Linked DNA regions of Drosophila melanogaster. The protein of the gene in region 1 interacts with the protein of each later gene in a pairwise test. Each region holds a gene or a part of one and is shown in the gene's direction. Other genes may lie near its edges. The genes, in order: Awh, twe, kmg and Ravus.

Region 1 (5,350 bases):
TACACTTGAAAAAATATGACCAACTTGCTGACGAAATGGAAATTAAACAACAAATGACAATACCCTAAAGCAGTTTGCAGGTTTTATGACAGATATTTCTATAAATGGTTAACTTTAAGCTTGAAGCTTTTATTTAAGTATAGAACAGTTTAAAGATATATTAATTTTTTTCCAGTGCAGTGACAGGAGAACGAGAGCCAGCAGGCAGCAGCATTTAATCCTGCAAAAAAGGCATTGCGAGGCACCATAAAATGATGTTAATCCTTAAATAACGTGAGCAAAGCAAAAAGCGGAGAAAAAGTGGTAAAAAAAACGGGGGCAGGCAGAAGGATTGGCGAAGGAGGAGGCGGTGGGGGCCACTCGACTGGATGATGGCGACAGCCAAATGCCAATTGAATGCCAAGCGGCTTTAAGAGACAGCCCACGATCAAAGAGACAGTGAATGAAAAATGGTGCAAAGTAATGGTTAAAGTGCTCGAAATGGAAATCCTCAAGGGGATCGGTGTTGCACATAAAGCTTAAACTCAGGCTTAAATCAAAGTATAAAGGGGACAAAGGAAACTGGAGTAACTTGAAGAGTTATTTAGCACCAAGGAATCATTAATAATAGTACTTTCTTTAAAAGTATTAATATAAAAGCAATATATTGTTATTGTTGTTATATTATTATTGTTAAAGCCATGCAATTTAATTTTATGTTAAATAAAATAAAATGTTTTTAACTTTAAACCTTTTTTTCTTTGAGTCAGTCTGCTGCGCTATCATGTTTGGCATGCCATCACAAACAGCCAACAGAAATAAAAAATATATAACCGAAAAGACAGCAGCATCCACTGGCATCAACTCACTTCCCCTCCATCAAGCGGTTTGACCCCAAAAAGTCAAGTGCGGCGGAGCTCGAGTTCCGTTTTCCCTCTCCCTTACTTCCTCCCTCGATATTCGGGTTTTCCTGGACTTTTACTCACTCAGGCAGCAAAAAAGTCAGCAGGAAAAGCAGAAATGACAGTAACATCAGTTGAAGTCACGGTGAAAATTATAGTAACAACAATATACTTACTTGAAAAAGCAAAAGTGGCAGTAACAACAGCAATATTATTGAAAGGCACAACAATTCAAGGAGAATCTTAAGTGGAAATATCCTGAGTAAAAGCAAAAGAGTTAGAAGCAACATCTGTTCCAGTAAACGCAGCAGCATGACAACTGTTACAACTGCAACAGGAGCAACATTGGTAGCTTTTCTAGGCAAAAGTAACCACAACAGTGAAATCTTTTCTAGGAAAAGCTGCTACAACAGATACTGCTTTATAAAGAACAAAAGATACAGTAACAGCAGCCACACGAGTCTCAAAAACAGCAGCAACAACATCGAAAGCACCAGCAATATGACAGAAATTCCTTCGAGTAACAGCCATATCAGTAGAAATGGCAACATCGTCACCAGAGCAACACCCACCCAATTCGCGGCACGATTTCACTCCGAGTTTCGACTCGATTCAAGTGGCCAAGTTGGCACGCGCCGGCGCACTCAATTGGTGCACAGGCGGCGCGGACTGGGAAAGCACTCAAAATGGGGGACACCACTGCGGAACTCGTTATGCGGGGCGCAAAGGGGCGTGGCCAGGCGGGCCAATCACCACCATTCCCGTTGCGCCGACGACAGATGTGCGCTCAAAAACCAGTTGAGCGAGTTCTCGAGTCGAGTTTCGAATGGGACTGACTGGTGGTTGTGGTTGTGCGTACGGCTGGTTCATCATCATACCTGTGGTGGTGGCGGGCATGCCATGAGCATATGGAAACCGGGCGTGAGCCGAGCCAGTTGAGCACCACCACCAGATCCCTGAGCTCGAACCCCGAGCGCCGGCAGTTAACGCAGTGGCCTCGAAGCTGTAACAACATCTCGCGTCCGCTCGATCCGCTCGATCCGCTCCGCTCCGTCACGAGAAAAGCGAGAAGCGCTCAGAGTATCTGCAGTGAAACGTGTTATCGTGATAAGGTTCTACGAGTATTCCATGCCATAAGGTGTCGCACATTATATTATTGAAATCGAAACGCAACATTCGCCGTCGGCTAAGAAAGTGAACTGTTATCGAATGTGCTAATCAAAAACAAAAAAAATGTTGCAAGCGCCTGCAAATTGATTTCTATCTCGGATATGCGAATTTACACTGGTTATTAATAGATCTGGTTTAAGAATACGATTATATAAGCATCCTATGCAGACGGCGGCTTCCGTGGGACGCTTGACAAACTGATCAAGTCGTCGTCTTTATCATCTATATCTCCTCATACTGGCTGCGATCGGGCTCGATATCGATTCCCAGGCTAAAGCTGGCGACAGATTTTCGAGCAAGATACTTGGATTAACAACCGCCAAAATTGTGGAGGCAATTAAAATGAAGGTGAGTCTCGATTGCTTTATAAAAAGATAGATTGAGTTGTAAAAAATCAACTTTATTGCTATTGGAAAGAGGAAAGTTATCAGTCTGTGTATTATAAATTTCTACATTTTTGAATAAAGTTAGTCTTTAATATTCTCTATTAAATTAGACTGTAAGTGTTGCATGTTCCACCCGTATTGCTCGGCGTTTGAGCGGTCTGTTTGCACACCCCCTCAAAATGAAGTTTCTGCTTTCCTTTTTAATTGCTGGACATAAAGTCCAGTAGACCCCGAGTGACCCACAAATCAGTTTTTTATGTAAAGTTTCCTAGCCCGCTGCGAGCATATTGGGCCAGAAAACGCAACAGGCGGCGTTTGCTCGACCATTGGGAGTAAAAAAAGAAGTGAGCCGGAGTTAAGACAAAAACCGGAGCAAAACAGTTTCAATTCAATTCGAAAAAGCCAGCACACTAATAGCGGCTGGAAAACGATGAGTTTTCAAAAATATGGAGACGACACAGGGCGGTGAATATGAAAAGCACACAAATCGCACAGTGGGGTTCCTCCCATCGAAAACACTCAGCGAATAAGCCACAGATCGCAGCCCACACTTTTGGGTATTACTCGAATATTGGCTGTGAAATGAAGGCTGATATTCGGATGTATCTGCAACCAAACCCCAAAAATCATATTCAACTTGGCCTTTTTTTTTTTTTGTTTTGTATCTTTTCAAGACATTGCATTGATCGTGTCGCCTAGATGATGTTGCTCAATCCCTTGTTCATTCAACAACACATATTTTTTGGTTTTTGAATTTCGAATTTGATTTTGACTTTGATTTTATTTCATACCCAGTCCGAAAACGTTTAATCGATTTTTACACCCGCTGTGCGACGGGCTTTTTTTGTTGTGTGTGTGAACCACCCACAGGATTTTCGAAAAATATTTGCCATGAGTCTGCAGAGAATCGATCATGATTTATGCTCGCCGATGATCGATTTACCATGGCTTTGTTCGACGAGCATAATTTTCATTACCATAGCAAATTGGACAAGGTGCTGACGCTTATTGCTCTGCGATATAATTTTAATCGCCCGATTTTATTTAGCTAGATTTCTATACGCACCACGGTCATAGGGGGAAAAATCAGATCAGCGGGGGATCCGCTTACAATTCGAAGTCCAGAACTCAAATGTCAACAGTTCTGAGGTGCCGTCGATGGTCAAGGGGCATGGGGGATTCTCGGCGAGAGACCTTTTCTTGACATCATCGATCTTGACCCGGCCCAGATGTTGGTGGATCCCCCCCCTTCCACATGTCGCCGCCCCGCTTTATCATCCAAATCCAAATCCGAAAATGACGCCACTAGGCGCTGCCTTATGAATATTCAACAAAGTATGGAGATGGAGTCTTTTTTTCCCTGCTCTTAGGTAGTCAGTCGGAGAAAGAGATATAAAAAAGGCATAAATATTTAAGCGCTTAAATGTCGAATGCCTGCGAAGCAGCTATAAAAAACGTATATACATATTTCAATAATCGATTTTTCATTAATAATTCACAAGAAAATTGAAAGATTGGAAAAAACTAAACCTCCCATAAATAGATACACCAAAAATGTTTTGTGTAAGAAGTCGTTGACGCCTCCATCTGCGGTTCGAAAAAGTTTTCTTTAATTGGCAATTGGGTATTTGAAGGCGAACTAAAAATACAGAGTGATTACAGAGATTTTAGGATTTGACTTTCTATATCTCCATCTACTTATTAGCTTTGAGTGTTTGACAAAACACCTTTTGAGGATTACACGCCTAACTCCATTGTCCCATAATCCCGCACAAGAAACCAAAAAAAGGAGCGCGTGCCGATGGCCAAGATTTTCCTACTTACCAAAAGGATGTTTTGCAAAACCAGCTGCCTGGCCAGCGGTCAGCAGATTTTTCAGCAAGCCCCCTAATAATTGGATTCCCAAACAAAGGACATTCTGAAGAGTGTCCTGTGACCACTGGTCGAAAATGCCTAATTGTCAACGCTGACAAGAAGTCTACGCCTCGGTTCTTGTCTCCTTGGGAAAACAATGGGCAAACGGAAAATGCATCTTGACTTGAGCCAATTGCCCCGATCAGGGACAAAGAGAAACAAATATCACACCTTTGTTTTGGGCCTCGAATCCATATATGTAGTATGTACATACCTATTGACAATAGATGCCAGAGTTCCTGGTCAGTTTTCAGTCGGGTTGCGCATGCGAATTGCAGGAAGAGATCGCTGGGTAGATGTGTCAAAATCGCAGCAGCATTTTTAGCAGGTAAATGCGAGAAGTCCTCTTCGAATGAACATCGAATGCAGGAGGCACAAGAGGTCCTCACAAAACCGCACAATGGAAGGCGAGTCGAGTGTCTTGCCATTGTTCGTTCGAGTGCATCCACAAAATAGTCCTTAAAGGACGCTTAGTTGGCCTACAAATGATGCATGGCCCTTGGGCCTGTAAAATTGTAAAATGCCACAAATCATTGCCACTCCTGTCTGCCGGCAACTCAAAAAAAAAAAAAAAAAAAGAAATCAAGGAAGATAGAGACCCAAACCCGCCCCTGGAATTTACGAGCCAACCCCTAAATGCAAACCATTCGATTTCGATTTCTGGCAAAAAATTCCAATAAATAAAATAAATGTCCTTTTGCCAGTTTGTCGCCTGAAAATATTCGCATTTAATTGCTTGACAATTGTAAATTGGCCAAAAAGGAATCGTTTTCGTATTACAAACTGTAGTTCGCATACTATATAAGTTATCCCACATTTTCAAAAGAACTTGATTTTAAATAAAATGTATAACACTTTCTAATATACATATGTATCGCTACAAATATGCCACTTGATTCGTTCTTGCCACTTTGTCATCAAAAAAAATTTGTTTTTAATTGCCTGACAATTGCAAATTGAGCCGATAGAGAATTTCAATATCATTTTATCGATGGCATC
Region 2 (5,451 bases), on another chromosome or scaffold:
GGTTTTTCCTTTTTCCCTCAACAAAACAATCAATTTTTTATGTTTGCGGGTATTTTGATGAGGTGGGCTCCTGAAGGAGTCTTTATATTTTATAACTATATTATTTATATCACTAGCTTTTGGTAAAACTATACAGCATTATGAGTACCTATAATTGCTCCTCTTCGATTTGCAAATCTGTCGAGAAGACATACATGTCCCGTCGTCTGGCGAAAAGCATTTCCTGTCGCTTGGGATGAGTGGCTAAGGAGTGGACGACGCCGCCATTATCACCTGACGGATATATGACAAAGGAAACCCACATGTTAATATATGTATATAGCTAATAATCAAAGTTCAACTTCACTTGCTTACTTATGCGAATGCGCTGCAGTACTTTCCCATCGAGCAGGTCGTAAACAAAGGCGTCTCCATCACTGGAGCCCGTGACTATTTGGGCATCGTTTGACAGTATTCCGCACTCGATGTGGTAGTCATCGCCGCGATGTCCCCTGTACTCGGAGAGTAATCCGCCGGTCTCACAGTCCAGCAGACGAACCACACTATCCTGACAGCCGGCCACCAGACATTGCTCGTCGCGCGTCTGCGCCAGATATGTGATGGGTTCACCAATTTTGTCGCAGGTAAGTTCGCCCACCCGAATATCGTAGGTCCTCACACATCCGTCCAAGGAGGCGGCGTAGATGCGATTCTCGTTGGTTGCCACCGTGGTGATGCAGTCCCGGGCCTCCTTCATCACCTGAACGGGATCCAGGCGACGCGTTCGAATGTCCCAGCACATTACGGCATTATCTCGACCCCCGGAAATGGCTATCGAGGAGTCCTCGTTGAAGCAGACGCATCTAACACCTCCGGCATGGCTACGCAGGCGCCGTACTGGTGCTCCTGAAATAGGCGAGAGAAACATTAGCCATAATTGGTGCGCTGTGATTACAACTCACCCGTTGACACGTCCCAGTAGATAATGCTTTTATCCAAGCTGGCGGAAACGATATAGCTACTATCACAGCTTCCCTGCAATATGCCAAAGTGGAGTACTTAATAATAAGAATAATACTAAGTGAGAAAAAACTATACCGCCGCATCGGTGACTTCATCCGCATGACCACCATAAGTCTTAAGCAGTAATCCCGATGCCGGATTCCACAGCTTTATCTTCTTGTCAGATCCACAACTCAAGCAATAAGTGCCATCAACTAAAGATTAAGGATCAAGATGAGTTAATGCTTAAAAATCGGGCACTGAAAACCATTCACCATTATAGCGCACAGCTCGCACTGCACCTTGTTTGCAGTCAATTGTGGTTTTTACGTTAAAGTTCTCAAATTCCGGCATATTTGTATTAAAAACAATAACACAACTGCAGCACGAAAAATATAAACAAACGGACAGTGTGACCAGATGTAATAAATGTTAATATGTTTTTGTCAAATTTTCCACTGGAAAAATGATATGATTCATAATTATAATTGTGGAATGTTTTTATTTTATTACGCTCATTAACGATTATTCTATGTATCTTTTTCTTATAACTATTTAAAGTACAAATTTATTGATTGAAAATATATTGATTTCATCGCATATTATGGTGGTAGAACACGTTATCATTAAGATGGCTGCGCTTTTTAAATTCAATTTCATTGCTCTTTGTCAAATAAAGTTGAACCAGCCATGCAAATACCAACAAAAAAATATACAAGCAATTTAAATTCAAACTAGAGCGTCCTGTTTAAATACGGCGCAGTGGTGAGTTAGCAGGTGGTGGGTTTGCATCGGTAGAATGGGGAATTGATAAAGGCGCCAATAAAGTTGACCGCCAAAAGCGAAACAAACAAGTCGACAGAACAAGAAAATCGTCAAGGATTTGGCAATCGAAATCACTGCGCACGCTGGAACCCAAAATCTGAACTTCCCAATAGTTACGTATATCGCAAATAGATCAGGGTAAGAACAATTGCGAAAATCCAGCTGATTTTAGCAGCTTCCAGCTGATAAAAAAATCATTGTTTTTTTTCTTTTTAACGCGCAGATGGCGAGCAAGCGGCTAATGCTCGATGTGGAGGAAGAAGATGATGAAAGTGGAGCGTGTGGTCAGGAGAATTTCGATCCCCATGATGCCGATATGGAATACCAGGCCAAAAGGCGAAAATCAGCCGTGCAGGAGACTCCGCTGCAATGGATGCTGAAGCGGCATATTCCTGCCAGCACCACCGTTCTGTCGCCCATCACCGAATTGTCGCAGAATATGAATGGAGCCCGCCTGGATGGCACTCCCAAGTCCACCCAGAGAATCCCAGCCAACAGGACCCTGAATAACTTTAATAGCCTGTCCTCGCGAACACTCGGCAGTTTCAGTAGCTCCTGCTCGAGTTACGAGTCGGGCAACTCGCTGGATGATGAGTACATGGACATGTTCGAAATGGAATCAGCCGAGAATCACAATCTTGAGTTGCCCGATGACTTGGAAGTGCTCCTCAGCGGACAGCTGAAATCGGAAAGCAATTTAGAGGAGATGTCCAACAAAAAAGGCTCCCTGCGTCGCTGCCTTAGCATGTATCCCAGTGAACAGCCAGAGGAAGCGGTTCAAGAACCAGATCAGGAGACCAACATGCCCATGAAGAAGATGCAACGGAAAACTCTATCAATGAACGACGCCGAGATCATGAGAGCACTGGGAGATGAACCAGAGTTAATCGGAGATCTCAGCAAGCCATGTACCCTGCCCTGTTTGGCGACAGGCATTAGACATCGTGATCTAAAGACCATCTCCAGTGACACATTGGCCAGACTGATTCAGGGCGAGTTTGATGAACAATTGGGAAGCCAGGGCGGATACGAGATCATAGACTGCCGTTACCCATACGAGTTCCTTGGCGGACACATACGGGGAGCGAAGAATTTGTACACACGTGGGCAGATACAGGAGGCGTTTCCCACGCTGACCTCCAATCAGGAAAATCGACGCATCTACGTCTTCCACTGTGAGTTCTCCTCGGAACGGGGTCCCAAGCTATTGCGCTACCTGCGGAGCAACGACAGAAGTCAGCATACCCACAACTATCCGGCACTGGACTATCCTGAACTTTATATCCTGCACAATGGGTACAAGGAGTTCTTCGGTCTATACTCGCAGCTATGCCAGCCCAGCCAATATGTACCAATGCTGGCACCGGCGCACAATGATGAGTTTCGATATTTTCGGGCCAAGACCAAGTCCTGGCAATGTGGCGAGGGCGGAGACAGTGGAATCGGCGGTGGAGGCTCTCGCGGCCTCCGGAAATCACGTTCACGACTGCTCTACGCCGAGTGACCATTTCAGGCTATAGATACAATTCTCGAATCGATCCACCTGCCATAAGCTCACAGAGATCTCAATGAGAAACGATGGCTGCCCAATTTTACTCATAGAATTATTTTGTAATATTTAAGGACGCACATTTTAAGGTTCATTTCTTGTTGCGTTGTTCAAATGTTGTGAAAGCACTTTATATTTATTTAGTTCTTGATTTTGTATTATGTTCCACGTTGTGTGGACACAGAGCACCCAAATGGGAACCACCAAAGATGGGAAGAAGAACAGAAAATGGATATATGTTCTCTAGTCAGTGTATGTAATAGTTTCAAAATTAATTAAAGTTCATTTTTGTGTTCGGAATTTAAAAGTTAACTTAAGAAAGTATTTCATATTTTATTTTAGTATTTAAGCATAATAATCTAACCATTGGATTTAAGAACTTCAAAGGAAATTACGAAAATTGTCTATGTATGAATACAAACTATGCTGAAACTATTTATGTGGATTCCACCTACATCGGTCAACTTTTATTAAAAGTATCTAAAAACAATCATTTAATACACAATTTAAAAGTTTTAGGATGCATAATGCTTAATTAGAACAGGAGATGTAAGAATACTCATAAAATATTTCAAGAAAATTCGTGATACAAATTTTAAATCAAATGAAGAAAAATGTTCCTTAATTTATATGCTATTATAGTTTATATATATTACAAAATTTTAAATGCTTTAAGCTATTGAAGAAATATGAAGAGAACAAATAATTTGTTACTGATCGAGATAATAAAAAGGACCACTATTTTTGAGAACAGTTATAAAATACTTATCATTTTATTCATTTTTAAACAATTTCTAACATTTCGAAACATAATTCAGATATTGAAATGCTTTACTGTGTGTGCCTTCAGAGATTACGACCAGAATAGGTGTTTTAGTACATAAGGAAACAATCCTTCAGTCATGAAAGATGCACTACTAATCATCATTTACAGGTCCTTCAAAGGGAGCCTTGCAACCAGCCTTTTCGTAAAACTCGAATGGCAGCGGATCCTCGTTGTCGTAATAGTCGGAATCGCGGGCGCAACTGGGACCAAGTTCCATTTTCACCATCTTGTCGCGCCAAAAGTCGAGAAGCTCTTTGGTGAGAACCTCATCCCTCAGATTGAAAATCCAACTGTTGTAGTCGTCGGGCCCATAGAAACCAGCATCACCCTTGTACTCCTGCAGCAGCTCGGCGGCCTTGTTTTGATCCTCCGCTGAGGGTGTGCCATCGAAGAGCAGCTTCCAGATTATCTCCCTGGCGGCTGCCGCTATCTTCTTCACGCTGGCCTGGTGAACGCTGTCCGGAACGATGATTTTGGTCAGAACAAAGCGCTTCATTAGAGTTCGGTATTCCTCGAGCGGATTTTCCTTGGTCAGGGTGGCCTCAAATTCGCCAGACAGAGCGGCGGCATCATCGGCACTCAGTTCACCCGGAGTTGTAGGCGTCGCTGGCCCATCCTGATCCAGCGAAGCCTGCTCCTCGAGTGCTGCGCGCACCTTTAAGCTGGCTGCAAATGGAGCGGTACAACCGGCATGGGCATAGAACTCCAATGGCGGGGTGTCGTCGCTGTCAAAGAGATCACTGTCGCGTGACCAACAGGGACCGAGTTGCTTCTTCACCAGCACATCGCGCCAAAAGTCGAGGAGTTCCTTCTTTAGAACCTCATCCCTCAGCTTGACAATCCATTCGTTGTACGGCGTCGGGTCGTAGAAGCAGGCGTCACCACGGTATTCCTCCAGCAATTGGCTGGCCTTCTCTGTGTTCGATTGCGAGGTACCGGCCTCGTCGAATAACAGCCGCCAGATGACGTCACGCGCCGCTGCAGCCGTTCGATCGAAATTCTCCTTGGTGACATCATCATCCACGATTTCGTCTACCTGCACGCGTGTTTCGATAAGCTTTTGGTAATCCTTAACGGGATCCACCAGGCCAATGGTGTAATCGTTCTGTCCAGACAATAGTTGTTATTGTTTGTAAACTATTTTTGTTTATTTTCTATGGCTGTTGCTTATTACCTGTGCTACTTTCTCGGCCGTTGCCATTTTGTCGGATTGTGTGTCCTCGGCCTTGCGCTTGGACATTCCCCTCTGGATAAATTGGCGATTTAAGGT
Region 3 (5,849 bases), on another chromosome or scaffold:
TTCCAACTCTGAACCGCAGAGTAAAAGCGAGAATACACTGGCAGGCGACATTTCCGCAAATGCATGGCCCATAAACTTTGACGGAGGTGGTGGGGGGTGAAAGCAGTCTAAACGAATAGAGAGAGAGAGAGAGATTGTTGCGGCTAAAGCGGAAATGATAATGGCTCGAACCGACGAACGACATTTTATCGCATTTAAAACTCTGCCCCATATACATAATCCACTTTTGGCTTTCTGCTGGCAAAATCGAAACAAATGTATACAAATTATATATCATATATATTCCATATTACCTGTTGAGGTTGAAAGAATCCTCGGCAACTCTAAAGTTTTTATTTCCAACACTTATATTTCCATTCACAATACGATTCCTGAAATCGAACAAGGTGGCAATGCCTAAGAAAAGTGACAGTAGTGCTATTCGTACTATTCCTTTCAAGCCATTGCCTTGCTAGATTTATTGGAGAAATAAATCTGAGTTATTTTTTAAGAGTTTCGTTAAAAATGGGTAAGTCAATTTGTCCTAAAATTCTTTAGGATTTCCTTCAAATCACTCATTTCTTCTTAAGAAAATAAAGAAAAGAAGCAAAAGCCCCTTAAACGCCATGCCCAAGTTCCACTCATCATTCCCAAGAACTCAGTGATCAGCACCTATGCCGTCGGTCGCCTCTGTTCGGAACCTGCTTTGGTCAGGATTGAGGTTAAAGATCTGATTGGAAGTGGATCCTTTGGCCGGGTTTACCAGGCTCATGTGAATGAGTCCGAGGAAATAGTGGCCGTTAAGCAAACCCTTTACAATCCGAAGTTGAGCCAGGGCGAAGCAGAAATTATGGGTCAGCTAAAGGACCACAACAACATTGTCCGGCTCATCATGCACTCGTCCGTGAGTTTGGGCTTTCCGTCAGTGGACTACGTTTTGCTGGTTATGGAGTACATGCCTATGACTTTGCTGGACTATATCAACTATCACCTAACGGTGCTACAGCCCGCAGAGCGCCTAATCAATGTCCGCATACTCTCGTATCAGATGTTCAGAGGATTGGGATATCTTCATCTATTGGGCATTTCCCACCGGGACGTCAAGCCCGAGAATCTGCTGATAGACAACCAGAAGATGGTGCTTAAGCTAAGTGATTTTGGAAGCGCCAAACTCCTGGTGCCCCAGGAGCCCAGTATAAGCTACATTTGCTCCAGGCTTTATCGTGCTCCGGAGCTTTTTGCCGGGTACGAACTTTATTCGTGTGCCGTGGACATCTGGAGTGCTGGTTGCGTCCTGGCGGAGCTGCTCAAGGGATATCCGCTCTTCTCCAGCCACAAACATGACCGAAAGCAGCTGCGACTCATCGTTAATATGCTGGGCACCGATGGCTTGGAACGAGCTCCTGAAATACTCTCAAAGTGTGGAAATTCACTTCACCCACGGACCACTCGTCCCAGTTGGAATTATCTCCTGAATACGGCTGTTCCGCAGGATCTGTGCGGTCTGTTGAACTCGTGTTTCATCTATGAAGCCGCCGCTAGAATCTCACCTATGATGGCATGTAGTCATGGTTCCTATGATGAATTGCGCATCATGGACGCCATGGCGTTGCCCATGCCCAATGGCAATCCGCTCCCCCCTCTGTTCGACTTCAACAGCCTGGAGATGGGTACAGATCCAAAACTTTGGGTCAACCTATTACCGATCCATTTGTCTTCAATGGAGGACAAGTATTCGGTCGTAGAAGCCTTTGAAGCAGTCTAGAAGATTTTCAAAATAAACTAACTATGGCAGGGATTTTTCAGGTTGTTCAAATATCTAATTGTCCTCTTGTTACTGATGTTAAGTGTCCTGCCCTGGAAAGGAAAAAAAATAAATAATAAAAATGTATTACAAAATAATATTAAATAACATTTCAGCGATAACATGAAATTATCATTTGGATGGAAATAAAACCTGTTAAAAAACTTTTCTTAAGATGCAAAATAGATACACTAAGAAATGTTTAATATTTTATTACAATAATTCTTATTTATTAAAATCTAAAATTAAATAGGCTTATGTTAACATTAACATTGGAACCACATAAACACTTGGAACCGAATCTTGAACCGGAACCATGCGTTTTTTATTGACACCCAAGAAGCAAGTTTTATAAATTGTGGTTATGTGAAAGAAAGAATGACATTGCTATTTTTATAAAATATAAAATAAAACCTAAACCTTAATTCGGTGAGAACTACGAATTTTTTATTTGGCATTTGAACATCTCACGTCCCTGAGAACTCGTTTTCTGTCATATCGAAGTAGCCCTTGGAAAAGCCAAAAGAAGTTTAGCAGGACCATCGGAAAAGTGAATCAGTCTTACAGGAGAACTCGCACCGGACGGTTGAAAAGTGTTCTGTGAAAAAATCCAAGGAAAATTTTGCTTGTTTCAGATTTTGTCAAGTCATGGAGCTGCCTTCAATGGTGGAGCGTTCGGGTGATCGCTTGGTGGTGCGCAGCTTGGTTAGTGGTGCTCCACTTTATCAGTCATCTATTGAGGGCGGAGCAGGTGCTGTGCTTCCTATGTCCCAAAGCGTGCAGCCGCTAATAGGTCAGGACTTTTTGGAGCAACAACTGGAGCAGTATAAGGCGAATAACTTTATGTTTCCACTATCGATGGCCGGGTTTGTTTCCGCAGACTCTGCACCACCGGGGGACTTGGCCAAGGAAAATATGGAGAACTCACTGCCAGATGGTAATCCGTGCAACAACAACAACGACGATGAGCTGCCGCAGTGCAAGATACGGCGTAACTACAGCTGCAACCAGTGCGCATTCTTCACGCAAAATCCGCGCAGTCATCTCTCGCATCTGCGGGACGTACATGGCGAGCGGATTGTGATCAACGAGTGCAAGTTGTGCCTCTATGCCTCACGCCACTTCCAGAAGCTGGTGCGGCACATGAAAATGGTGCACGGCTGTTCCGATGATGGCGGCGCAGTGCAGGGATCAGGTGCTCAGCCGCGTGGTAAGCGAAATCTCTCCAGGGAGGTGCGCAAGCGTCGTCTGGAGGAGAGCATTGAAGGCCAGGGTGCGACTGGGCAATGCCTAGACCTCAGCGTGCTGCGCATGATCCAAAATGGACCGCCACTGGAGCAGCTGAAAGTAGAACTGCAGCAGCAAGAGATGCAGCTACTGGCCAGTGTCCAGGCGTACAATCGACAGCAGGAGATGCTGCAGCTGCAGCAGATCGTCGAGAGCCACGACAACATATTCTCCATGGCCTACGAGTTCCAGACCAAGTTAATGCCGCCTAAGCAAGCAGAGTCCCTGAAATTGGAACAGCAAAACAGCAGCTCCGATTCCGAGGAGACTGCGAAGAGTCCTTCGCCGGATACCCGTGAATTGGTGTCGGGTAAGGAGCAGTTTCAATGCCAGAAGTGTTCATATAGCACGCCCATTCGAGCCAGATTCAAAAAGCATGTGAAGTACCATTCCATGCCACTGATCAAGTGCAGCTCATGTGATTTTCACACACCCTACAAGTGGAATCTAGACCGGCACACCAAGAACCATGGTGCCAATGGCCATTTCAAGTGCTCGTGCTGTGACTTTAGCACGGATATCAAACAATCGCTGACCATACACGAATCAAACCATCATGTGCCCATGCCGGTTCACCAAATGGGCAACCGAAGCCGAGATGAGGCTGAGGATCTGGTGGATCAGCAGTCAAGTGGTTCCAGGAAACCAGAAACGTTTAAAAATGGTGGTGCTACCGTTGCATCGACAGAATCTCTGCTTCCCCGGACTTCGGGGATCGTTTGTTCACACTGCCAGAAGCGGGTGGGCAATGCCATGCAGTTGATCAACCATCTACAAGTGTGCACTTTGGCCTTGCACAACACCACCCAACTGCAGGCTTCTATCAACGCGGAGGTGGATCTTCACGATGAGGACTTCCCCAATGCTCCCACTGATCTCAGTTATTGCGGCGTAGAAACAGCTCCTGGCTATGGGGAGGTAAAGTCCATATATATATAAGTACATGGTGTTGCAAACTTATCCCTTTAATTTCAGGTCACAGAAGTTTTGCCAGAGGAACCCGAAGATTTGGCGCCATTGAAGAAGGTTTTTAAGTGTCCTCATTGCAGTTTTTGGGCAGCCACTGCATCTCGCTTCCATGTCCACATCGTTGGTCATCTAAATAGGAAGCCCTTTGAATGCTCTCTGTGCGCCTATCGCTCCAACTGGCGCTGGGACATCACCAAGCACATCCGTTTGAAGGCCCTCCGCGATAGATCCCATAACCAGGCCCAGGTGCTGATGAACGATGAGACCGGTAGGCGCAACTACGCCAAGTACAATCAGTATCTGACTATGATGAAGGTAAGCGCCGAACAATTGGCCGATTCGAAGGGAATGCGCACGGGTGAAATGATTGTGATGCCGCCGGAGAAGCTAGACGACCATCATCCCATGGAAACGGAGGAGATCATCGAGATGGTGGATAGTGCTCATTCGACCTCGGCACTGGATTTACGAAAGCCCAGGGATGACCAGACGGAGGACTTGGCAGGCAACAGCGATGAGCTGCCGCAAGAGGGAGCCAAGACGGAGCCAAATTTAGAACCCTTGTCATTTAAATCATTGAATTCATCACAAGTCATGCCAAAGCCCAAAGGGTCGCCTATGAATTTGACCAAGACAGATGGTGGTCAATCAGACGAAACGACATCCGCTGATGAATCCAATGAAAGCGATTAAAACGGATCTTTCGAATCTTTGAATACTCAATTCTCAGCAACAATATTAAAAATTAAATAAAAATACGTAAATCGATTTAAATTTATCCGGTTTTTAAGATTTCTATGAGAGAACTATTATTGTGTATTCGTTTATAGTTTTGTAGGGATAATTGGGGCAAGTTCAGCCCAAAAAATAGGTACCAATAAATAAGTAGTTAATAGTTAATTTAGCGTGGCTAATGTATTAGTGACAGATCAGCTAAGCTTTAGTCTCGAATAATAACACTACGAATTTAGATCACGCGCTTTTCACAGCAAACATTCCTGTATGAAAAATAATACTATGCATATCAGGACGAACAGCGGCACCAGGAAGCAGACTTCATCTACGCTGAAAGTGCCCAGGATGAGCCACAAATCGAGGCAGAGATACCGCGCCTGCAGGAGCCACAACCACATGCACTAAGCCGTCTGGCACTGTACGCCCTCAAAGTGAGACGACTGTCCGTCCTCGTCTTCCTGCTGTCGTGGCTGCGGCTTATAGTCCGTCATTTGCACTTCCTCGGCGTTCTTTGGGATCACTATCGGCTGTCTGGGAGGGAGTAAGTCCTCCAGCATGGCCAACTGCGGTGCCGTGGCAAAGTCGTTGTCCGGAAACTTAACCTTAAACTTCATGTAGAGATCTCCACTGTCGGTGGCCTTGTTAAAAACAGGCATACCACTGCCTCGCACCATCTTGATCTGGTTGTGCTGCAACACTTCACCAGGGTACGTGCGCAGACAGACGTTTCGTCCATCCAAGTGCTTGAAACAATGCGAGTAGCCGCACAAGGCCTCCGTGATGTTGATCTCCAGGTCTCGCATGTACAGATTGGCATGGCGGCGCTGAAAGATTGGATGTTCCATCTGGGAGATGACTACAATCAGATCCCCAAATTCGCCGCCTCGCATTTGGTGGCCCTCATTTGCGAAGGGAACTTTTAGCATGTGCGGTGCTCCTCGCTCCACAACCAGGTCCCGCTTCATCTTCTGCTCTACGAAACCACTGCCCTGGCAGGGACTGCACTTCTTGTCGTCCCTTATGGTGAAGCCCCTGCCATCGCAAGTCGGACAGGTCTGCAAAAAAAAATAATTTA
Region 4 (4,629 bases), on another chromosome or scaffold:
GAATATCTGAAGAGCTGAGGTAAAAAAGTGAAAGCAGTTAAAGAACAGGTGCTATTTACGTTCTGTAGGAGTGTCAACTCACCCCTTTTCAGCGGGTGTCGATAGCATGTGACAATGAGCTCTGGTTTTACAGTGCCGTAGGAAGCTGGTAATCGCCATTGTGCAGTTGCAGAGCGTACATCGGCATTGCTGTGGATTGGTGTCCGGAATCAGTGCACACCACTTGCCAGGGTCGTCGCCTGAGTCCACATCGCCGTTCATCATAACCACAGGGGTGTCCTGAGCATCCTCCGGCCCAACTTCTGGTTCAGATTCCTTCTCTCGCTCGGCCTCATCCCCGCCGCTATTGGTCACGCTGTTGCTCTTGCTCCTCTTTCGCTTCCGACTCCGCTTATCGGAATCTAGGTTGCGCAGTGCCTCCATGTGACCTTTGGTGGTTTCGTGGCGCTTGCGCAAATAGACAAACTCCACGTTCATTCGCACGCTGCAGATGCGACATGTCCCGATGGTCCCTGTGGGCATGGAACGTTCAAGCCAAGGATGCCAACGGAGCCAACGCAGCCAGTTGAAGTTGTTAAATGCCTCGGTCTCGGAGATTCGTTTTTGCTTCATGGCGGCCACATAGCTCTTGGTGCCGAATTCGTGCTTGATTTCGTTGTCGCTGATTCTACGGATAATTGGGAGTTAATAAGTGTTCGCAAACTTTCGGTGATCTCAATATGATTTCGGTATTTCGTTTTTTAAAGGTGCAAATCTTACTAACATTACGAGTAGAGCTACCCTCATTGAAAGCAGGGAGTGTAATATATGTAAAATCTATTCTGAACCGCGACCAAGCCTATCATACACCAGTTTCTTTGTGTCAAACAATTGCTACACGTTGGAAAATTAATGCGGACTCGGAGCAGTGCTCCCTTCATTAAGTTGGCAGTTTTTTTCACACTACAGTGGGCTTTCTGGATTTCGGTACAAACCCTTTACAAAGTGAAAGGCATTTGAAGAGTTGAGCTTTTACTTTATACGGCGGATTAATTAACTTGATTTCTCCGAATTTTAGATTTCTGTACTCTTTTTTGTAATCTTTAAAACTGTGACACTTACGCTCCTCGAGTTTCCTCCTCACTTTTCTTGAATGCCAGATAGTTGCACTCGCGTTCCTGGTGGGAGAGCGACACGTTGTGCTGTTGGATGTGTCTAGAGCGGTTGTTCACGTTAATGGATATGTTGCAGTAAAGGCAGAACGCTAAGGTGCCATCGGAGTCCTCGTGTAGGATCCAGGGCCAACGCTTCATCCAGAGGAGCCAGCGCTGTGCGCGGGGCATCTTGCGGCGCATGCCTCCGTCAACGCCACCGCCATTGCTGCTTTCGTCATCCTCGTCGTCGTCATCCTGGCTGTCTCCCGGATCATGGATTTCAATCCTCTCCAGCAGGCCCATGGGATCGTGGTACGAATGGGAGCTCTCCGCATCGCTGGAGGGTTCAGTTTTAGTGGACATGGCATCGGGTTCACGTTCCTGGTCTTCCAGGAGGGGATCCTCGCTGGCCTGTTTGTCGTCTGGGTTATTTAGAGCGGACTGTAGCTCGGCCACCAATGGAGCATGTTCGTCATCCATGATGTCCTCAATACACGGGTCATCCCGCATCGGGTGCTTGTCCTCCTCCACCACCATGGCCACATCCCCATCGTCATCATCCACCACGATGACCATGGAGGTCTCCACTTCCTCGATGTGATCCGGATCCACCAGAGCACCACCCTCTACGTCCATAATTTTCAGCTCGTGCGTTGCCGACGCTAAAGTTTCTGAATTTGCAGACGCCATTTTGAGGTCTGGGTTGCATTGAGCATCTAGGTTTTTCGCCTGCATGCTCGAATCCCGATCCATCACGAGATACTGGTTATCCAGGCACTTTGCTCTAATATTTGTTAGCTTTTGGGAGATCACAGTATACGGTTATAAACTAAAAAAATAAAAATAATCGCAAGCGAAAACTCAGAATCGCTGTCAAGGCGATGGCCAATGTGACCGTACTGTTGCATTAAACCGGCGGGCTAAGGACCATATACTAAGGAAGTTCAAAAAATACATAAAATGCAACTGAGGGACTGGACTGGTCACTTTATTGAGAACGGTCTTAAAACGTACTGTTCATAGTATAACTGCAATTATTTATTTAATAACTACATGAACATTATGCTTAGAAAGCATATAAAGAAATTACATGCATTAGCATATGATTCATATATCGTTGAATATTTAAAATAAAGTGTGTAGAAACAAACAACCGGTGTGGGTGACAACTCTTACAGCATGTGCAAAACGGGTTATGCGGTATTTCTATGCATGTGCGCACGGTCATACCTCACTGGATTTTGTTTATATTTTGGAAAAGACTACCCAAATGTCAAACCTCCAGTTAACTCAGGAAAAACTGTGAGTATACCAAAGTAAGAGACCAGGGTCTTATGTTCACTGACTATATTCGCCGCCCAGAGATGCCCTACGCTCCGAATACAGGCCACGCCGGCCGTGCGCCCTGCTGAAATATCCTCGACCCAAGACAAAGCCGGAGTACCAGGCGATATATCCGTGGTTGCTCCCGGATGAGACGGATCCGCACTTCGTGTTCTGCGCGGTGTGCGAGTGCAGGCTCAGCTGCAAGAGATCTGATCTGGGAAAGCACGAGGGTAGCATTAAGCACTCGGAAAATGCACAAAGAAAATCATTGCCAGCCAAGGCAAACAATTCGAGCTTCAATGGATCCAGCTCCGGTGCGATGAAGTGGGAGGATACCGAGGACGAGGAGGGTCTACTACAATACGGAACAGATCCCCAAGACGACGAGACAGAAGATGAGGAGGAGGGAGAACTTGACGAAACAGAGGGCGACTGCGAGGACGATGAGAAGCGGACTCAAGAACTGGAAGCACAAAATGATCTCGAAACGGAGCCCGTCATTAAGCAGCAGCGCCGCACTTCGGAGACCGACTCACAGAATTCTGGCATGCTGGATTATCTGCCACTACACGTGACCATCAACGAGGGGCCTCAAAGTCTTCCGACCACTGTCTCCGCCTATCCCACATCCTCAGCAACAGCAACAGTAGCTCCGCCATGCAGGATCACCATTAAAAAAGTTCCAGTGCACAGTACTCCACTCAGTGGGATGTGCCAAGCTCAGGAGATCAATTCCAAGGCCACCATAACGCCTATACACACGACGCCCTCCTATGCTGCCCGCCCGCTGCAATCTTATCAACTGCAACCATTGTCACCTATAACGCCACCGCGCGACTCATTGGAGCTGTTCTTCGACAGCATATGTGCCACCGTCAAGAACTTGCCGCCCAAACTGGCCACCGAGGGTAAGATCCGGGTAATGCAGCTCATTGGGGAGCTCGAGTTGCGTGCTCTTTGCGAACAGGAGGCGCTCTCTGAGGTCGCCGGACTTCCGGATCTCGCGGGAAACTCCAGGTCTGGAGCAGCTGAAGCCTCAGGCAGTGGTCAGCAGAATGCGACAGTGGCTTCTACCACCAAATAAATTCACCTGGACTTTGGAATCGGTTCCAAACCGTGCTCAATACGGCAATTAGAATATATGCTAGTGCTTTCATTTTTTAATTTTGTTAACTGATTTTCATTAATAAAGTTATTTATTAGTTGTTGTAGTGTGGCGTGCATTTATTCTTTAAATCTATCTGATGGTGTTTTTGTTCTATGAAATGGCTTCATTACATTTCATCCGTTTAGAAATTTAAGTGCCCAATAAATGGGCTCATTAAGGTATTAGGTTCGCTTTAATATTTCACTAACTGCATTTCAAAAAGTGTTTTCCTGACCTTGGTTTGCCAGCAAAGTATAAATTGTGAATTTTCTCAGAGAATGATATCACGGAAGAGCTGTAATCAATGGAAACCACTTCTTGTGTGTGGGTAACAATTGTGATTTACTTATTGTGAATGATACAAAGCGAATTCTCTGAAGGGTAAATATTACGCATGTACAATACCATGTGATAAAAAGTTTATCGCATGATAGTTTAATGTATGTTCTGTAGGTAAAGATAGTAAAAATCACTCCATCAGGCGAATTTATCAACTGTAACGAACAAACAACATGTAATATCAGATTGAATCAATCAGAATCAATCAATTGAAAAAATGCCAGTAATTATAAATATAAGTTAATAAATCTTTATTTGTAAAATTGTAAAAAATGATTGAAAACAAGAGTTATCAGTAAGGCACTTAGTTAATTGATATTGGGGAAATATCCCCCTTAAAAAGCTTGCTTGCCCTCTAACATGGCTTTCCCGCAGTAGAACGGGAACTGGACTCCCTGGAGCAGAATGTCCGATATGCCCTGCGAAAGTAAGAAAACAAATCGGTTAGCAATGTTTTTCCAGGCAATGGGTGTGGGTGGGTCTACATATCGGGGCCAGCTATCGCGGTTTCCCATAAGCTCCGGTTGTGGGTCTGATAAGTTCCCCAAATGACTAATGGGTTAAACATCTTGACGGCGCGATAAGGAAAGTGCCTCATGCAACCAGCAGGTGAAGCAGGTAAATTGACTCACCCCGCCATATAACTTCAAATGCTGCTCCCCAAAATAGAAAAAAAACCCACTT

Evidence for each region.
Region 2: the proteins of Awh (region 1) and twe interact in a two-hybrid assay, tested with the Drosophila melanogaster proteins (one large-scale study listed by BioGRID).
Region 3: the proteins of Awh (region 1) and kmg interact in a two-hybrid assay, tested with the Drosophila melanogaster proteins (one large-scale study listed by BioGRID).
Region 4: the proteins of Awh (region 1) and Ravus interact in a two-hybrid assay, tested with the Drosophila melanogaster proteins (one large-scale study listed by BioGRID).

The regions. Positions count from the first base shown.
Region 1 is NT_037436.4:3,844,349-3,849,698, forward strand, and holds the start of Awh (arrowhead), read left to right. Parts: upstream 1-1,857; 5' UTR 1,858-2,393; coding exon 2,394-2,399; intron 2,400-5,350. UniProt on the Drosophila melanogaster protein: Probable transcription factor. Required for the establishment of a subset of imaginal tissues: the abdominal histoblasts and the salivary gland imaginal rings.
Region 2 is NT_033779.5:16,258,084-16,263,534, reverse strand, and holds twe (twine), read left to right. Parts: upstream 1-1,657; 5' UTR 1,658-1,944; intron 1,945-2,029; coding exon 2,030-3,310; 3' UTR 3,311-4,121; downstream 4,122-5,451. Other genes in the region: CG4935 (uncharacterized protein), read right to left, coding at 149-273, 355-885, 942-1,014, 1,078-1,196, 1,257-1,335; EndoGI (endonuclease G inhibitor), read right to left, coding at 4,273-5,286, 5,356-5,421. UniProt on the Drosophila melanogaster protein: Required during meiosis. Regulates the transition from the extended G2 phase to the onset of the first meiotic division.
Region 3 is NT_033779.5:13,158,375-13,164,223, forward strand, and holds kmg (kumgang), read left to right. Parts: upstream 1-2,152; 5' UTR 2,153-2,212; intron 2,213-2,418; 5' UTR 2,419-2,431; coding exon 2,432-3,988; intron 3,989-4,045; coding exon 4,046-4,732; 3' UTR 4,733-4,779; downstream 4,780-5,849. Other genes in the region: Pk34A (protein kinase at 34A), read left to right, coding at 505-508, 570-1,744; DnaJ-H (DnaJ homolog), read right to left, coding at 5,176-5,829.
Region 4 is NT_033777.3:13,261,773-13,266,401, reverse strand, and holds Ravus (ravus), read left to right. Parts: upstream 1-2,340; 5' UTR 2,341-2,403; coding exon 2,404-2,435; intron 2,436-2,495; coding exon 2,496-3,543; 3' UTR 3,544-3,669; downstream 3,670-4,629. Other genes in the region: Su(var)3-7 (suppressor of variegation 3-7), read right to left, coding at 1-14, 83-667, 1,102-1,886; CG11686 (uncharacterized protein), read right to left, coding at 4,281-4,364.